3 linked regions of the Rattus norvegicus genome follow. The protein of the gene in region 1 binds, or shares a complex with, the protein of each later gene. Links are inferred from orthologs where the notes say so. Each region holds a gene or a part of one and is shown in the gene's direction. Other genes may lie near its edges. The genes, in order: Pole3, Chrac1 and Pole4.

Region 1 (6,544 bases):
ATGTTTTGATTAATTTTGTAAAAATTGTACACGCAGGCTGGAGAGATGGCTCAGCGGTTAAGAGCACTGACTGCTCTTCCAGAGGTCCTGAGTTCAGTCACCAGCAACCACATGGTGGCTCACAACCATCTGTAATGGGATCCAATGCTTTCTTCTGGTGTGTCTGAAGACAGCTACAGTGTACTCACATACATGAAATAAATCTTTAAAAATATATTTAAAAAACTGTAGACGCGGGTTGGGGATTTAGCTCAGTGGTAGAGCGCTTGCCTAGCAAGCACAAGGCCCTGGGTTCGGTCCCCAGCTCCGAAAAAAAGAAAAAAAAAAAAAGAAAAAAGAAAAAAACTGTAGACGTATCACCAACCCCTACATATGACATGTAACAAGTACCCAGTAAATATTACCAGGCTAGGGAGATGCCTTAGTAACTAAAGCATTTGGAGGGCAAAGCATGAGGCCCTGAGTTCAAATATCCAGAACCCACATAAAGCCAGGCACAGCGGACATCTGTGATCTCATTGCTCCTACTATAAAATAGAAAGCAGAGAATCCTCTGAAGCTTGTGGGCTAGCCTGCAATAAGATTCTGTAAACAGCCAAAAAGAGATCCTCTTTTAAGGTAGAAGGCAAAGAAAGACCAACTTCCAAAGTTGTCCTCTGACCTCCACATCAGCACCATGTGAATGTTCATGCTCACACATATCTATGTACACACACTATACATAGAGAGAGACAAGTAAATGAAATTATACTAAGCTATTATCAATCTCCCTTTTAAAGATGCTATGCAGTCACTACGACTACCTTATTGCTCCTAATATATAATTATATTTTATCCCTTTATTTGGTGGGCATGGGTGCCATGGTACACACAAGGAGGTTAACAGGAAGGCCATCCTGTAATGAACCCAGAGACTACACAGCTCACTGAGCCATCTCACCCTGTCCCCTTTTTAACTTTTTTTTTTTCCGGAGCTGGGGACCGAACCCAGGGCCTTGGTTGCTAGGCAAGCGCTCTACCTCTGAGCCAAATCCCCAACCCCCCCTTTTTAACTTTTAAGGACAGTGTCCTTTTCTTCTTCTATTTATACTTATTGACTGTCAAATATATGAGAGGACCTGTTTGGGACATAGAGAATAGCAATAAACAAACACTTGGTTCTAAACAGCTTCTAATTTAAATTAGAGATAGGGATCTAGTGGCCTGGGCTGCACCTGGCCTAGGAGTAATTTATCTTGGCAGGCACTTTTAGCCCATGTCTTAAAAACTGAAATGGTCCTATAATGTTAGATTTCTGGCTTTTCTCCTAGATCAAAATGCCTGACAGCACCAGTTCTAGCTAAATGGTGGCTGGAACTAAGGCTTATGACATCCTTAAGACAGGCCTGTTCTAAGTGCAGAATTCTCTCCATCAGAACAATCCCTTAGCATCATCACCCTAAAACTGTTGGATCGTTTTGTTTTGTTTCTCCAAATAGGAAAATGTTTCTTTGTAACGTCTCCATTAAAAATAGGAAAAAGTCTTGGAACATGTTTCAAGAAAAAAAAAAAGAAAGAAAAATTAAGAAGGAAATAAGCATTAGTTCTCAGGAGTATTTTTTTTTCTGTGCTTAATATGAAAATTATACAACTTAAAGCGACATTGTAAATGTTAACTCAAGTGATGATGATTTTGATAAGAAAAATGTAAGATGACTCACATAATGAATTAAAAAATACTTTAACACGGGTTTTTGAATGAGAATACAATGCATTATTCTTACAGTCAAATGCTTTTCGCCCTTTCATTACCGAACCAGTCCGAATTGAGCTGCGAAGTCTCATCAAGCTTTTGAGATTGCCCAGGTTACTGCTGTCCGAATAATAGCATTTTTTTAAACGAAATTTTAGATAAAAGTTATTCTTAATACAATTATCACAAAGTTGTGAAGGGAATGAAATTAAAGATGGACAATTCTAATGCATAATTCGGTGTAGTAGAATTGAATGAAAAGCTACACTGAGTTCCGGAAAAAAAGGGATGGGGAGGGCCACTCAAGTGTCCGTAGTCCGCGATTTCGCGGGATCAAAGCAGATTCCAAAGGGCTGTGTTCTGAGCCTCTGGGGGCGGACAATACTGAGATTGCGAAAGCACTCCCAAGTCTTGGCCCCGCCCACTTCTTCTAGAGGCCCCGCCCACTCGTCGGTCCCAGTCCTGCCTTGTCGGGCTCAGTCTACGCCTACCCCTTCCAAACTAAGCACCAGGCCGCACGGTTGCCTAGCAGCGGCGCACGGCACGATGGGAGAATAGACGGAAACCTCAGAGAGTCAAACTTAGTTTAGTCCGAAAGCTCCAGCGATGTGTAGTAAGAAACAAGCCTGGAGTGGAACGTCCAGGATGCGGTGGAAGCGGATGGAAACCTCAATGGTCCGAAACAACTGCGACATGGAAAAGCTGGGCTACCCTGGAGACTTGTGGCGGGGTTGATGTAGCAGAGAAGTTGTGGTGCGCAAAGCACTGTGGGACACTGGCAACGTAGGGTAGGACGGAAGCTTCCGAGGGTCATATCTTAGCGACGCGGGAAGTCCAGACACCAGAACTGTCTGCGAGGAGACCTGAGGAGGAGGGTAGGGCCCAAGCGGAGGCAATGGCGGAGAGGCCTGAGGACCTAAATCTGCCCAACGCCGTCATTACCAGGATCATCAAGGAGGCGGTGAGCTGCTCGGGCTGGAGAATGGGTCGAGGGCGGACGTGTGCCAGAAAGTTAACAGAATCCGCATGTGTGTTCATCTCCACTCTCCCTGCAGCTACCGGACGGTGTCAACATCTCCAAGGAGGCCCGAAGCGCCATCTCCCGCGCGGCCAGTGTTTTCGTTTTGTATGCCACATCCTGGTAAGCCGAGCAGAGGCGGAAGGGAGGCGCAGCGGGATCCTAACCCTGCGTTCGTGTCCTGGAACCCACAGGCCCCAGTTCCCTGCTTCACTAGAGAGCGACTCACAGCTCTCCTGCAGCCTCACAAATTCTGAGGCAGGTTAAACAAGACGGTTGTCGTAGCCCTTTGTACGGGGAAGGGATGAATTGAGCTGTGCCATACAAAAACCCATTCATCTAAGATAAATGTGGCTTTTCCCACCCCATCTCTGGCTGTCTCATGTCCCCACCACTTTGACAAGCTTCTGAAGGGCTTTGCTCTTTCTTCCAGTGCCAATAACTTTGCAATGAAAGGAAAGCGCAAGACTCTCAATGCCAGTGATGTACTGTCAGCCATGGAAGAGATGGAGTTCCAACGGTTCGTAACGCCATTGAAAGAAGCGCTAGAAGGTATCCATGTGCTCTTCTGCTTCTTAAACCACGTGAAAGATGTTCATCCTTTGTTCCCTGATCACCTGATTTCAATACTACTGCCATTAGGTCCCATTCACTGGTCCAGGACTGGTCATGATTCCACTCTGTTGAGTTGGTACCATTTCGAATATGTGATATGGGCCTGTTTATTCCTCTGGTGCCTCACTCGGTTTGTCTAATTAAACAATAATCCCCTGCTTCCTTACAGCATACAGGCGGGAGCAGAAAGGCAAGAAGGAAGCCTCAGAGCAAAAGAAGAAGGACAAAGACAAAAAAGATTGCGAAGAGCAGGACAAAAGCAGAGAGGAGGAGGATGAAGATGAAGAAAGACTGGATGAGGAAGAACAGAACGAAGAGGAGGAGGTAGACAACTGACTGGAGAGAGTGGGCAGACTCTGACACGGTGGAAGGGACCCTCAGATACTGAGATGTGTTTATGTGAAGCCTCTCCCTGCAAGGCAGAGCCATCTTCCGCAACGGTGCCTGAGATCAAAATAAAAACTGACCAGAAAGATCAAAGCTAGCTAGCTCTTCCCAAACTCAGAGCGTCTGAGTTACAGAAACCAGCTTTGCTTCATCAGTCTGCAGGTTATGCCTTATTAGTGTAAGGGATTCCGAATGACTACATAGTTTGGTATTGCTTGTTTACTTAAAGTGTATAGCTAGCTAGTTTTTGATCCTATTTCCCTGCTCCTCCAAAAAAGTAATAACATGTTTCTTGCTGCGTTCCAAGTTGCAGAGTTGCTAACCGGTCAGGGGGAAATGGGGCTTGGACCATGGTCACCCTGTTTGACTGTACAGTAATTGACAATAGATATTAATGCTCAGAATGGTTGCTCTTTAGGAAATGACTAAAAAGCTGTGAGAGAATAAGGAAATCTCCTCACTCGATGGTAGCATTGCTTGGCTTCTGGCTTTCTACACTTAGCTTTGTAGTCCTGTAGTGACTGTAGATGCCCAGTGCTCTGGTGTGGCTCCACTCCTAAGACATATACTCTTAAATTCTGAGTGTTGGTTAGAATCTGTCAAAAAAGGGTGCCAACTCCCCACCCCCACCCCCCCAGAGATGAGGATTGAACTCAGGGCCTTGCTAGGCAAGCGCTCAACCACTGAGCTAAATCCTCAACCCCAAGGGTGCCAATTCTTAAAAGCAGGTGGCTTAAACTTGGCGGTAACTCAGTGCCTGCCACTGTAGAACCTAGTGCCACCTCTTGGAAGGTATAAAATCCCAGATTGTCTCTTCTCTAGTCCACCTCTCAGATGATGGCTGCTGCTTTTTATCCCCTGAACTCATAGCAAGTTCCAGAGACTTTATCTCCTCCAGGCACAGCCTTTCTGTCTCCATCTCTCCCGCCTCTGCTTCCCAGCCCTGCTTTCTCCTCCTCTTATTCATTTCATCTTCTAGTCTAGGGACTCTGATAAAGTGCAAGGTCCTCAGATTGTTTCCTCATCTCCTGTCTTTTAAAGAGACTTGAGAAGCACCTCTGACCCTGAAGGTGAGAGAAACGGTGCTCAGGAATGTGGCACCACTGCTGCAGCTTTGAGCGTGCCTGTTGGCCTTTCTTTTCCCCATTTAGTGCTCCAAGCACTTTCTCTGTCTTAGTTGTGCACATGAGGCTGACAGGTAATGTAATATAGTTGAACACTGTTAACTAGTCAGGGAAATACAGGGAAGAGTTTGTTGAAAGTGACTGGAGACTGTTGAGAAGATTTTAATGCTTTCTACAAATAAATTCTTGTTTAAATGATGACCCACACAATGTACTTTTGGAAAGGACTCACCAAGACACCCCTCTTTTACCCCCTAACCTCAGCACACATACAGAGTCCTGTGTCTTCTTGGGTTACCAGCAGGTGAATAAGTAATCACAATTTAAGGGCACTGCTCTTCCTGAGATTCTCCTGGTTACTTTGTATATCTCACTAGCTCCCACTTCCTAAGCTCTTCCAGTGTCTAGCATTGTTCTAAGTGCTTTCAAGTATCAATTCCTATCCATAGATGTTGCCTCTATTAGCTCTCAACCACAGCTCTGTATCTCCAGTACACACAGTTCTCAAGTCATATTCACAAAGAACCCCAGTGGTCCTTTGGTTTATAGGCTTTTTCCTTCACAGCAGAAACATTGTTTAATTCCCATAAGCACAGTGCTAGACCTACTCAAGTCCCATTTATAATCCTGTGATTTCCTTTGAACTCAGTTTCAAATGTATAACTATATGCCAAGTAGATCTTCCTAGAATATACCTTTGCTTTCAGTGAGATCAAATCCATAGTTAAACCTGTTATTCAAGGCTTGTGTAAGAAGGGCTTACCCTACCATCTAATCTCCACTCTAAGGCTGTCAAGAATTGGAAGGGGCTCAGTCACAGAGCACTTGCCTAGCATGTTCAAACAAAACAAAAACCAAACTCTTCCATGTCTCGGGTTTGTCCTGCCCAATCGCTTAACTATAACATTCTAAGAGAAACCTTTTCTGGGAATGGAGGTTTGGATTTAAAAGTAAAGAATTCAACATCTGGAAAGACTCTGAGGTCATCCATCAGTTTTTTCTCAATCACACCTACATCATCTCATAATGGCATCTGGATTCTGAAGGTTTTCCATCAGACTTTCTCATCTCTTTAAACAATGAACAGAGACTAACCTGGATCTGGGCCATGGAAGAGCTCTTGTTCTAATCCATTCGAAACTACTTGGAGGCTATGAAGAGATGGCTCAGCAGTTAAAAGCAATGACTGCTCTCCCAGGGGACCAGGGTTTGGTTCCCAGCACCCACATGGCAGCTCACAACTTCTATAGCTACATGCCCTTTTCTGCCCTCCTGTCACTGCAGGAGGTTGGTACAGAGCCATGCATGCAGGCAAACACATCTGTACACATAAAGACAAATCCTTTAAAATTGTTTTGTGCCCTAGCCCCCTACTTTTACCTATGGGAAGTTAACACTGTTTAAAGAGAAAGTCCGCAAGGTATTAGAGCTAATCTATGATCACTGAGATGATCCAGTGGGCTTTGGCCTTCTGTTTGTGTTTTAGTAAATGTTGTAAACGGTTAGGATAACTTTAGATTTACAGAAAAATTACAAGGAATGTGGTTCTTATACCCTTCACCCAACTTCTCATGTTAACAACTTGAAGTCCAATTTTCCTAGTGAATTATTAAAAACCAAAATGAGATTCACAAATCTTAAACTTTTTAAAATGAAGATTTGATGGTA
Region 2 (6,300 bases), on another chromosome or scaffold:
AGTCATTTGGAGGGTCAGAAATTAATGGGCAAACACTTCTTGGGAGTGAGAAGACTGAACTCTCTCTGGGCTCTTCACAATGCAGGGAAGTTAGCCCCTATGATGGTTAAGATTGTCAACCTGACAGAATCTAGAACCTAGTATCCTAGTTACTTGTCTGCAGAGAGAATATCTTGCATATAGTATGGATGTATCACCTGCCAATTAAAAAAATGTATGGCCTATGGTTTAGGTGGGAAATAGAGGTAGGACATCTGACAGAGAGAAAGGATTCTGGAAGAGAGCCAGGTGGGAGATTTCGCGGGGAAGATATGATGAGATGAATGATACCTGAGCACAGGTAGCCAGCCACAGGCAGAATAAATGGGATGTTTTAAGTTATATCTAGTTAGAGAAGAGCCTAGCTATATGGTCAAGGTATTTGTTGTCTGAGTCAAGGTATATTATGAGTCTGAGTGTTATTTCTGGGAGCATGGGGCTAGGAGGAAGAACCAAGGCTTAACTTTACATTAACGTTTACATTAACATTAAATTTACATTAACATTAACATTACTAGAACACAACCAAACGGAATCAAAGTTTGATACCATCAGTGGAAGAGAAGCATTCCAGTGTTCAGATGGGTGTGTGTCTGTGTGCCAACCCTCCCACTCATGCTGGGGAGGGAGTGGGGTTAGTGGCACCCCAGCTTCCTAAAACAGACCTTTTCTTGTCTGCCTCACTTGTGTGACAGGTAGCAAGTAAGAGACAGACAAAACTCATCTTGTTCTAGTGGCTTTCCTTTGCTTCAGATCTGAGAACAAATACCACTTTTCAGAGGCCAGCCTATCACACAGGATGACACTTCCCATTGGAAATGATATTCTTTCTCAGTACATCTGGGTGAACATAGTCTTGAAGGCAGGCAGCATGGCTACCTTGCTCACTGACTGTGCCTCTTTAAGCCTGACACTAACACTGAGCATGCGTTCTACATCTATGGTCTTAACCAACCTGAGATACAAAGTATCCAGGAAGAGAAATCGTCCCTGCTGATTGGACATGTAGAAATCTCTTATCACTGTTCCCTAACAGTCCAGCAACTATTCAGATGGCATTCACAAAGTACTTATCAAGGGTACCCAGATGTAGGCCTTATATGAGAATGTGCCTAGGCTCTATGCAGCTACCTTATGCATTTAAAACACTTAAGCATGTACAATTTCAGTATGTGTGGGGATCTTAGAACCAATCCCCCATAGATACCGGGGGACAGTTGTATTTTATTATTGGACTAGGATACACTATGGTAAAGAAAGCTGAAACCAAATGTGATCCAACCTCTAACATTCTGCCAGCCTCCAACTATATTTAGTGCCAATTTACGAGTTTTTGACCTCTTCAGACTGCATTAACTTTATTTTCCCAAGTTCACTCCACGAATTTCATGTAGGTAGAATTTCAGTCTGGTAGTGTCATCTGCCATGGTGTCCCACTTTCTGATATTCTTCGACACTGCCCTCTGGACCACTACTTGATAGGATGTTTCTAATCGTCTTCATTCTACCTTGTCTCTGCATTCTATTCCTTAAGACACGGTCCATCTTCTTCAACAAGAGCTTGTGGGGCTAAACTGGCCTAGAACTCTTGGTGATTCTTTTGGTTTTGTGGTGGGACTACAGAAGACTCAAGGACCATTTAGTTCACCTGCCTGCTTAAGAGGTTAATCCCCATAAGCTTCAAGACATGGGTAGGGTTGCCTTTTCTCCCTATTCCCCTGGCCAAACTGTTTGACAATAAGAGTGTGGCTCATGCTTGCTGGCTCCCTCCAGAACATGACCTCATAAGACATTTCTTTTATTTTTTTCAGCTTTTGAAAGGGCAGGTCTGTGCAGCTCGGGTCTTCCCGAAGTACTAAGACGCTTGAAAGCGCTTCTTCCGGGAGATTGCCGCAGCGTTTCCGAGGGGTTTTTCCTGGGCGCTGTCTCCCAGGCTTTCAGGCCACCGCGCTACACGGAGTCTGCGCAGGCGCGGCCGCGCGGGGCATCACGGGCCGCCCGGACGCGGAAGATGGCGGACTCGGTCGTGGGTAAGGACAAGTGCGGGGAACAGCGGCTCGTGTCGCTGCCCCTGTCCCGCATCCGAGTCATCATGAAGAGCTCTCCTGAGGTGTCGAGCATCAACCAGGAGGCACTAGTGCTCACGGCCAAGGCCACGGTGAGCGGCCAGCGGGGCGACGAGAGGGGCGGGCACGGGCACCAACCGCCCCTTGGGCTCCGCACACTCCTAGCCTTTGGTTGCCCTGCGGGAGCCGGGAGTCTTGGTCTCTCCCTGCGCCTGCGCATTACACACCCACTCTCCCGTGGTCTTAGCTCCGCCCACTGCGCCGCTCCCGCTGTCCTTTGCGCTGCTTTTGCTCTGCATCACTTCGCTCCCAGCGTTCTCTGCGTTCCGCCTACCGCGTCACTCCCGCCCTGCTTCGCACGCGTGAGGAGCTAAGTGCGGCTGCGCGAGTTGACCAGTGAGGAGGGCGTACTGTCTACTTCTTTTCTGTCGCTGACTTCCCGCAGAGTGATGCGAGGGTTCTCGAAGCATCCAGGACAGCTTGCAAGGATGTCTAGGGCTCTTCAGCCCTCAGGACTCTGGAGGTAGTCAGGTTTTAAGCAGACAACCGCTGGTCACAAGTTAGACTCTAGAGACAAATTATAACTGCACACCCCCCTCCAAACACATCACTTTGTTTCCTTATTTTTATATTTCAAGTCAGCTCTCAGTATTTCTCCTTACCTTGGAACCCTGTAGGCCAGGATTACCTCAAACTCAATCTGCTTGCCTCAGCCTACCAAGTGCTGCTGGAACCATACTCTGCTACCCTGGTCTTGGCCCTTCTGAGTACTGGGATGAGAATTTCCTGACACCACTCCTGGTTTAAAGTTTGGTCTTGTTTGTGGTAGACCGAGAACCTTACTGTTCTGAGACCCGACATGATTACTGTCTCTACATTCTTTTCCAGTCTCTGCTTCTAGAACATCAGTGCGTAGTATCTTTTACAATATTTTATAATATTGTAAAATTGTAATATTGTAAAATACTACAAAAGAAATACAAATCTTGTGACTACAACTGTCAACCTTAAGTTAGAGCCTGACAAAATACAGTTCCCCAGTTTCCTTGCATTGGTCCTCCAAAGCCAAATACAATGTTAGGATAACAGCCCCTTTTAGACAGTGGTGCATATTTACACGTAAACTGTACATGTCTCATTTCTAAGTCATCTCAGGATCATGGGATCAGGATTATTTGTGTGGTGCTGGGATTCACATTCTTTTGTAGGATTCTAGTGTTAGGACCTAAGCACTATGCAGACAGTTCTCTGATCACTTATTAGCTGAAATAATACTAAACCTTGGGGAAGGCTCAGTTTTACTTTCTGAGCATTGGGATCTCGTTAGTTCCACACCTAGAAGGTACTTGGGCAAAATGAGATGTCACCTTTCAGCCTGAGGTTGTTGGTTTTTATTATAGTTGTGAGTGAACAACTGACAAGGGATTCAAGTAGGCTGAAAATGTGTTCCTAAGACAGATAGGTGGCAGCTCACATCTGTAATAAAATCCTTTGCAAGCCAGATATAATTTGGTTGGTTGGTTTTCCTTTTATGGAGACATGGTTTCTCTGTGTAGCTCTGAGTGTCCTGGCACTCTGTAGACTAGGTTAGCCTTGAACACAGAGATAGGTCTGCCACTGCCCCTCAAGTGCTGGGATTAAAGGTATGTGCCACCATGCTCAGATAACGTTTTTGAATGGTCTTTTACTCCGTTTTGTGTAGGCTGGTAACACCTCCTTATAACCCCTCCCCCATCCTTTTCAGACAACAGCTCGTGTAGCCCAGGCTGGCCTTGAACTTGATATATAGCCAGAGCTGCCTTTGATTTCCTGTGCCTCCTACCTCTGCCTAAATGCTGATAAGTATATACCACAGCACCCCCCAAAACCACTTGTAAAATATTTTTCATATTTTTACAGTCATTTGTAAATATTTATATTATACACTTCAGCTCAGCTGGGAAATGCCTGCTGCTTCCTGACTGACACTCTTGCTTCCTTTCTGATTTCATGTTTCTGTCTCCTGTAAATTAATTCCCTGTCATTTAATTGAGGAACCAAGATAATGTGAAGTATTAATGGAATTTTAAGGTTGTAAACTGTGTGATTTCTTGTTGGTTTAGGAGCTCTTTGTTCAGTATCTAGCCACCTGTTCCTACAGACACGGCAGTGGCAAAGCCAAGAAAGCGCTGACATACAGTGACTTAGCCAGCGCTGCCGAGGATTCAGAGACACTTCAGTTTCTCGCAGGTACTTAATCTTTGGGACATTCTGGTTAAAAAACAAAGAACCCTTGTAGTGGGCTATTCTCCCCTCTATTGTTCTGCTCGGTGCCTCGGTTTATCTGATCTGGCACAGGGAGTTGTTACCAGCCTCCATTTGAGCCCACCAAGAAGCCAACAGTACACAGAAGGTGCATCCATGGCCAAGCAGACTCACTGAGAGCTGGCTGCTTGTCCTGTTCCCCTGCACGCCAAACAAAGCAGCGGGTGCATGCAGCCATGGGTCAGACTCTGACTAGAAAGAGCTTCAGTCTAGCCCAGGGGCCAGTTTAGCCTCTCAGCTAGCTTGAACAGTGTTCACAAAATCAGGCCATAGAAACATGTTTACCAGTGTGGAATGCCCAGGAAACAATGCCCATTTCTGTTATTCTTCACCTAGAAGCACACCTGGATTTCATCTTGTTTAGAAGGTTGTCTAGGGTTAAAGGTGGAAATAATACATTGTAAAACTTGAATCATTGTAGTCATAGTTTACCATAACCAATTATTGACACCGTTTTTCCACTTTTAAGATATATTACCAAAGAAGATTTTAGCTAGTAAGTACCTGAAAATGCTCAAAGAGAAGAGGGAGGAAGAGGACGATGATGACGATGGTAGCGACCTTGGTGAAGTGCCGGCTTAGGCCAGCAAGAAGAGCTCTCAGCGAGTCCCGTGAGCACACACAAGGACACACTAGCAGCTGCGAAGTGGAGGGACTGCAGCGTTGTCTCAGACTTGCAACTTGTTGCATTCGCTCTTTCAGTGGGAAGGACTAGACAGCAGCCTCCTCCACAGGCCCTTCAGTCACCTCGTCTCCCACTAGGAGAGTCCTGGGCAGATGGCACTGCTCTGGCTTTGGGTACAGCAGCACATACCACTGATCACACTGAACTTGCAGGAAGACCCAGGAAGCTCCATGTCAGCTGCATAGTCTTGTGGACAGACACTCTGTTCTCACAAACAGCTGCATGCATACTGTGCTGCCTTTGATTTTCTTTTTAAAAATGGACTATGCAGTTTTATTGTATGGAGATTTGCTCTTCTTTTTCCATTAAAGGTCTGTATGTATTTTACAGTAACATGCTTTATTGAAGTGGTTTTCAGTTCTTTGACATTTCACGGCGAGCATCTGGCTGGGATGCGATGCAGGTAGAATATGTGCTTAGTACGCACATGACCCTGGGACTGCTCTCAGCACCACAGCAAACAGCAGCAACAATAAGTAGCTGCCTCATCTCCTGAGAAGAGCCCCGGCTCATCCATCAATCACATGCAGTTGAAGCAGCCGTCCTCAGTGTGTCTTAAGAGTTCCTATAGCTGTGATGAGACACCATGACCAAAAAGCAAGTTGGGGAGAAAGAGGTTTACTCAGTTTGCACTCCCACATCAATGTTCATCACCAAACCAAGTCAGGACAGGAACTCAAACAGGGCAGTAAACTGGAGGCAGGAGCTGACGCAGAGGCCACATGTGTATCTATGTATATGCTTCTTACTGGCTTGCTCAGTCTGTTTTCTAAGAGAACCTAGAGCCACAAACCACATTGGGCTTGGCCCTGCCCCACTGATCACTAATTGAGAAAATGGCTTACCTCTGGATCTCATGGAAGAAGAAGTTCATCAACTGAGGCTCCTTCTCTTGCTTGAATCAAACTGACACAACCAGCCAGTCCACTGTGTAAGGGTATTAGACAAGCTGGGCATTGGGGACATTTCTCATTTTTTGTCTTATATATATCCAGTAGAATCATCTTATGGCCTATAAAACTAGACAAACAGTTTTATTTTTGTGTTTTAGTCTTGCTGTATAGAACCCTTGCTGGCCTGGTACTTGTGATCCTGCCTCAGCTTCCCCAAATAATCAGGGATAAGGGCGTGCCAGTCCTGTTGGCTGTTAATTTGTAGTTTGTTACAAATCAATACACGGACCACCCGTGGGTAGTATTTCCATGC
Region 3 (6,423 bases), on another chromosome or scaffold:
CACCTTCCTTCAGGAGTTTTCAATCTGGGGAAGGTGGGGCTAGAAGAGTCAAATACTGATTTAAAAAAAAAAAAAAGAGGAAAAGAAAGAAAAATGGCACAGGGAGAGGCTTGGTGCTGCTACTGGGACCAGCACTCTGAAGGACTGTATGCAGTGGTATGACTGATTTAACTTCATCTGTAGAACTATCAGAGAACCTGGGATCTGAAGTGGAGAAAAGCTTTGGGGCAGAACAAAAGAACTAGAGACACAGTTTACCTGATCCAGACATAGAGAGGACCTGGAGATGTTACAAAATGGCAGAGGATGGAAAGAGACCAGCTGCAGAGATCCTTGTCTGTTACATTGGATTTGTAGCATTTCAAAGTTGGGGTGAAAAGACTGGAAATCCATGTAGTCAGTTTCTATGAACAATCAACCAATGAGAATAAAGTTTCTTGGTATGTTTTGTTTCTCTTTTTATTAAATACAAAGTAGAAGGAACTCAAGGCAAAGGTCCTAAGGAAAACTCTGGTACAATGTAATTCATCTCTCTTCCCCTGAAGCTTTTAATTCTGGCGAAGACTCATTTTGTTTTAGTGGGGCCTCTGTGTATAGATCCAGTCAAAGTTTATTGCTTAAATTTGAAAGTGAATGATTTCAGGTTATTATCCAATGCAATGAGCCCATATTCCACAGGTATACTATTGAACAGTCTGTGGCTCAGTCATAGCTGTAAATAAAATTACTTACCTGCCTCAATAGTACAGGTATTATGACTAAACATTAATATTTATATAAAGCAATCAACTAGCTACACAGTGTTTTTATTATGCCTTATATTAAAACTTTGATGTGTGTTGGGTGCATTTGTTAGTATAAAGGCCCAGGGTCCACCATCTCGCTGATTTGGTTAGGCTAGCTTAGCTGGCCAAGGAGTTTCAGCCATCCTACTACTCTTACTGCAGAGATTACAGGAGTTATGTCGCACTTGCCTTTTACTGTGTTCTGGCGATTTGAACTCAGGTCCTTGATGTGCAGCACTTGACTGAGTCATCTCTTTTGCCTATTGCAAATATTTGCCACTCCTCCATGCCAGATCTCCGGTGTGGTATGAGAACTCATAGGGAAGGAGGAGGTGAAGAGAGGCTTCTTGGAGAACCTTTCCAGAGGCCTGTGAGATCAAAGCGATTTTCTATTTTAAAGATAGGGTCTTACTATGTAGTTCTAGCTGGCTTGGGAACTCCCTCTGTAGATTAGGCTGGTTTCTGCTACTCCAGTGCTTATATTAAAGGTGTGCACCACCACACCCGGTCAAAGTTATCTTAATACCCAGAAGTCATTCTCATTCTCTCAAGAAGGTGTAGTGGAATTTTCCATAACTAAGCAAAACCGGATAGTAATAATGTTCAGAAGCAGCTAGATGATCCAATCTTTTTCTTTCTTTTTTTTTTTTTTTGGTTCTTTTTTTCGGAGCTGGGGACAGAACCCAGGGCCTTGCGCTTCCTAGGTAAGCGCTCTACCACTGAGCTAAATCCCCAGCCCTGATCCAATCTTTTTCTAAGGGAGACAATTTTTTCTTATCAAATTTTTTTAACTTACTTGTCATGACAATGTTTTGCTAACTCCACATACCAAAATTTTAAAACGTAAAAATGTGCAATTAATGTTGATATTTCCTACAGAAACACACTTTTTGATTGTTTTTTTGAGTAAGGCCATCAGTGTTCTGATGCAACCTACGTTTGAACGACCAGACACCACAACTTGCTCTCTATGTCCGCACGCCTTTCTTGGACTGCACTTCCAATTCTGCCCGTCAAAAGTCCCATTCCAGTTAAGACGTGATCCCCGGAGATGGCCTGGCGCTGCGCGGCACCGCATTGTGAGGACACCCATGGGTCCCCCTTAAGTGAACCTTGAAGTTAGACCCTGAGAACCTACACAGGCTCTGGCGAAGCATCCGGACTTCCGGCTCAGCTAGGCCACGCCCGGCCGCTTCCAGGCTCTCCCCCGGAAGGCAACATCAGAAGCCGGAGCCGGAGGGGGGCGTTTCTGGCGCGCCCCGCCTTGTAAGGGAGGGGCCACGCCCCCACAGAGAGGCGTGGTCTCTAACCGGCGCGGGAAAGGGGCCGGAATCTCGTGTGCGCGCTCAGACAGCGATCGCGCGCAGCACGTTTAGGGAGGGGATGGCGGCAGCGGCGACCGCTGGGAGCGGGACGCCCAGAGAGGAGGAGGCTCCCGGAGGGGAGGCAGCAGCTTCGCAGGCCCAAGCCCCGACGAATGCACCCGGTGGGGCTCGCCTTTCGAGGCTGCCTCTGGCGAGAGTAAAGGCCTTGGTGAAGGCAGACCCTGACGTAACGCTGGCGGGACAGGAAGCCATCTTTATCCTGGCGCGTGCCGCGGTGCGGCGGGAAAGCAAGGGCGACTGGGTCGGGGAAGGGGGCGTGGTTTTTAGGGGGCGTGGCTCGGGGTGTGGCAGGCCCTGGTATGCTGACCTGCCTGAGACCTAGGAAGGCCTCTGTAGGCCCCATTTGAGTTTGTTAATCACTCCACTTCAGGGGGCTCAGGCAACTTTAGTTTGCACCCTCCGGGGCTCACACAGAATTTGAAGGGGGCCCTAGTGAATATTTATAAATATTAGAGCAGGGTGACTGAAGATAGGGAAGGGGATAGCAGAAGTGTTTTTGTGAATTTTAGTACAATCTTAACTTCTAGAACTTTCCTGTGTGGTAGAGCCCCCTTTTACCCTTCTTGCCCACATATACACAGGTTTGCTCACTCAGTGGGCTATAATCCACTAATCTGCTCTGCTTGTTTTGCAGGAGCTGTTTGTGGAGACTATTGCAAAAGATGCCTACTGCTGTGCTCAACAAGGAAAGAGGAAAACTCTTCAGAGGAGAGATTTGGGTAGAGTCACTGTGGTACCTCAGGGTGGACAGGGGAGCTATGGGCTGGGCTTTCTTAGAGCTGGTTCACAAGGCATCACTGAAGCAAGGTTTTTATTTATTTGTCTAGCTGGTAACCCTTGCACGTGTGTTAGACTTTAAAGACTGTATCTCTCATTCCCTCTTATGCTGCCAAACTCTTCTTCTAGTATCTTTAGAGAGAAAAGTGGATTTAGGAACGAGACAGGATTGTAGGAGGCCTTACCGAACAGCATTTTCGTGGGCTTTTGTGCCGAGACAGTTGAAAGAATTTATAGTGTAAAAATTAGGACATCAGGGAGATTGTTTATAAATGATGTCATTTGCATAAAACTCCATGTTTGTTATTATGTGGATTGTACTGTTTTGTGTCTGATGTCCAAATGACTAGAGCTAATCAAATATCCCTTTACCTTGTATTTCAGATAATGCCATAGAAGCTGTGGATGAATTCGCTTTTCTAGAAGGTGAGTTCACTGTCAGCACAGACTGCTTTCTCTGTCGATGATGTGAACTTCGAATCTCATAAAACCTTATAAAAACAGATGTGTGGTTCTTTGTACACAATGGAATTGATTCTTCCCATTTTGATAGAAAAGAGGAACATTTTCCATTTGTGGGAATTAGAAATTCTACAGTGAAATTGCAAGCGTAAAAGAAGGAGGGAGTATAAAAAAAATACCAATAGAGTTGGATTTAGATTTTGAATCCTATTTAAATCTCTGTCCCTAAATATCAATATTGCTCCCTTATACTGTTTAGAATAAGACACAATTCATAATTCTTTAAACATTCATTTTTACTTATGTGTATGTGTGCTTATACATGCCAAATATATGAAGGTTCCCTTAGGAGCCAGAAGAGCAGTGTGAGGTGCTAAACCTGGGTGCCGTGAAGAGGTCTTCTGGAAGAACAGCAAGCACTTTTTTGTTTTGCTTTTGCTTTGTTTGAGACAAGGGTTTCTCTGTGTAGCCCTGGCTGTCCTGGAATTCACTCTGTAGACCAGGCTGGCCTTGAATTCCCAGAGATCCAAGATCCACCTGCCTCTGCCTTCCAAGTCCTGGGATTTAAGGCGTATGCTACAACTGCCCTCAGAGCAGCAAGCACTAAATCAGAGTCATCTCTTCACCCTCAGTTCCTGACTTTAAAGACATGTTCTCATGTATCTCAGGCTGGTCTTGAAATTTCACTGTATAACTGAGAATGACCTGGAATTCCTTTTCTGTCTTCCTCACCTCCCCAAATGCTAGTAATAACAATAATAATAAGTAAATAAATACATAAGTAGGCATATACTTTCTCGCCTGGCTCTGAGATCTTTTCTTCTCTCTTTATTCTGCTTCTCTGTGTCAGCCTATGCCAATGGCACTCTTTAGATGTTCTCTTCGAACACGTTTTAAGATATCTCCCCAATGTCTGCTTCAAGTCTAGACTTGAGTATTCTTTTAAGTTGTAGATCTTTGTTTTTCCACCTATTTGTCTTAAAAATAACTTGAATTAGTTGCCCAACTTGCTTTATGGCCCAGTATATGGTCATTCTTGGGGGGGGGGGGGGCTCTGTATATGCTGGAAGAGAAAGCACTCTATTCTGTTTTGCTTACTTGTTTTACCAGTTGCTGAGTAAGAATTGCCTGTTAAATTCTCCTACCACAGCTGCAGATTATTTTCACTTAAATTATTGATTCTGTTTATTTTGTAAGACCATATGGTTAGGTATGTAAAAGTTTAATAATACTATGTTGTTTGTGACAGCCCATGGTGTTTAATTTATAGGTTGATTATTGTTATTTCTAGTGATTTTAAAAGGAGGTTATTAGACCTTCCCATTTGGACAGACTGAGGTTTGGTTCTTCCCTCCCTCAGCCTGGCACACAGCCCTTCTCAGCTCTCTCACATTGACACATGCCTTCAGGGCCACAATAGCGTTCGAGGTTGACCTTACTTAGTGACTTTGCTCTCTCTAAGTTGTAGATTTAACTCTTAATATGATTTTCAATTATTGAGAAATTTTATTTTTAAAATATGTTTAGCTTTATTCGTTGCTCTAAACACAGACCAGCCATCGTCAAAAGCGGAAGTTTCCACGAGTTCATGCTTGTGAATGCCAGTCCTTGGGAGACTGAGGCAGCAGGATTTTAAGTTTAAGGCCAGTCTGTGCTACAAAGGGGGCTCCAGCCCACTTTGGCTAGTGACAATATTGCCTTAATCAACAACAGAACACCCCAAAGAAAGTTACTATTTTTTAGTTACAAGTACTATTGGTTTGGTTTTTCTAATGTTTATCACCCTGATGTAAACTTTATTAATCGAATTAAGAAATAACTTTGGCCTCTCCTTTTACTACGAAGTTTCCTTCAGTACAGTGCTTTTCCTTCTGTGTGAACATAACATGAGGCTGCTTTGGAAGCTGAGTGTCTGTAAAGTGATGGTTGTTGCTTTGCAGCTTCTGGGTAAAGAGGAGCAGATGCCCTGCTGAGGCCCCACAGGCCAAAATGCAGGATGCTTCCTGGGAGTCTGACTGCCAGAGGCTGCTCTGGTTTTCCAAGATAGGCCACTTGGTTCTTTGAGCAAAGTCCTGCGATTTTTTTTTTCCTCTCCTTCATGTATGTTTAAATCTGTGGCTGCTGCGTGGAGGCAAGGTTGTAAGAGGCATGAGAGAGGGAAGCCTGTGTCCTGTGGATCATTAGCTCCTTTCCTTTCACTTCTTTTTCTGTCAATGCAGTTAACTGGAACAGTGGTTCTCAACCTTCCGAATGCTGCGACCCTTTAATAATACAGCTCCTCATGCTGTGGTGACCCAGATTATAAGATTATTTCATTGCTACTTCATAACTGTAACTTTGCTACTGTTATGAATTGTAATGTAAATACTTTTAGAAATGAGGTTTGCTAAAGGGGTGATGACCCACAGGTTGAGAACCACTAGTCTTGTGCTTTCTGCTGGTTCTCCTGGGGTGGGAGATAGCTTCTCTTCTCTTGCACCCCGATCTGCATCAGGCTCAAGGATTCTTTGCTCTGTTTATAAACATACTCAGTGAGATGTTGATTATTTCTTTGTTGTTGTTGGAATTGGCCAGCTGCTAGTGGAGCTTTGTTCTGTGTTGTAGATTATGCCTTTTAAACAGCTTTTTCTCTTTTGAATACAATCTTGGAGAGCATAAAGACTTGTGAGCTCAGGTGCGCAAACTCAGCTGGGACTTTCTGAGAAAAGATTAGAGGGACTGGAGAGATAGTAATTAAGACTATTCTATAGCAGAGGATCCAAGTTCAGTTCACTCACAGCCTCCTGTAACTCCAGCTTCAGGGGGATCTGATGCCCTTTTCTGGTCTATATGGGTATTGCATACACACGCTCTCAAAAGTATACATGTAATTAAAAAAACTTGTTTAAAGTTATAAATGCTTTGCTTAGAGAGCCTTTCCCTTTTTGAATGTTCATTGAGCAGTGTAGCAATTCTTTAGCTCTTTTTCAGCTCTAGTTCTAATTCTGTGCACTGGTGGGATTAATTCCCAAAAA

The links.
Region 2: Pole3 (region 1) and Chrac1 share a complex: the UniProt entries of both Homo sapiens proteins name them as parts of the CHRAC ISWI chromatin remodeling complex. The link is inferred for Rattus norvegicus from reciprocal best matches to the Homo sapiens genes POLE3 and CHRAC1.
Region 3: Pole3 (region 1) and Pole4 share a complex: the UniProt entries of both Homo sapiens proteins name them as parts of the DNA polymerase epsilon complex. The link is inferred for Rattus norvegicus from reciprocal best matches to the Homo sapiens genes POLE3 and POLE4.

The regions. Positions count from the first base shown.
Region 1 is NC_086023.1:80,988,813-80,995,356, reverse strand, and holds Pole3 (DNA polymerase epsilon subunit 3), read left to right. Parts: upstream 1-2,614; 5' UTR 2,615-2,627; coding exon 2,628-2,693; intron 2,694-2,787; coding exon 2,788-2,873; intron 2,874-3,183; coding exon 3,184-3,302; intron 3,303-3,534; coding exon 3,535-3,701; 3' UTR 3,702-5,849; downstream 5,850-6,544. Other genes in the region: C5h9orf43 (uncharacterized protein C9orf43 homolog), read right to left, coding at 1,764-1,824. UniProt on the Homo sapiens protein: Accessory component of the DNA polymerase epsilon complex. Participates in DNA repair and in chromosomal DNA replication.
Region 2 is NC_086025.1:106,900,015-106,906,314, forward strand, and holds Chrac1 (chromatin accessibility complex protein 1), read left to right. Parts: upstream 1-2,038; 5' UTR 2,039-2,050; coding exon 2,051-2,197; exon of another isoform or gene 2,198-2,628; intron 2,629-4,207; coding exon 4,208-4,334; intron 4,335-4,878; coding exon 4,879-4,991; 3' UTR 4,992-5,427; downstream 5,428-6,300. UniProt on the Homo sapiens protein: Forms a complex with DNA polymerase epsilon subunit POLE3 and binds naked DNA, which is then incorporated into chromatin, aided by the nucleosome remodeling activity of ISWI/SNF2H and ACF1.
Region 3 is NC_086022.1:116,724,536-116,730,958, reverse strand, and holds the start of Pole4 (DNA polymerase epsilon subunit 4), read left to right. Parts: upstream 1-2,107; 5' UTR 2,108-2,168; coding exon 2,169-2,384; intron 2,385-2,804; coding exon 2,805-2,889; intron 2,890-3,331; coding exon 3,332-3,373; coding exon of another isoform or gene 3,374-3,414; exon of another isoform or gene 3,415-3,448; intron 3,449-6,423. UniProt on the Homo sapiens protein: Accessory component of the DNA polymerase epsilon complex. Participates in DNA repair and in chromosomal DNA replication.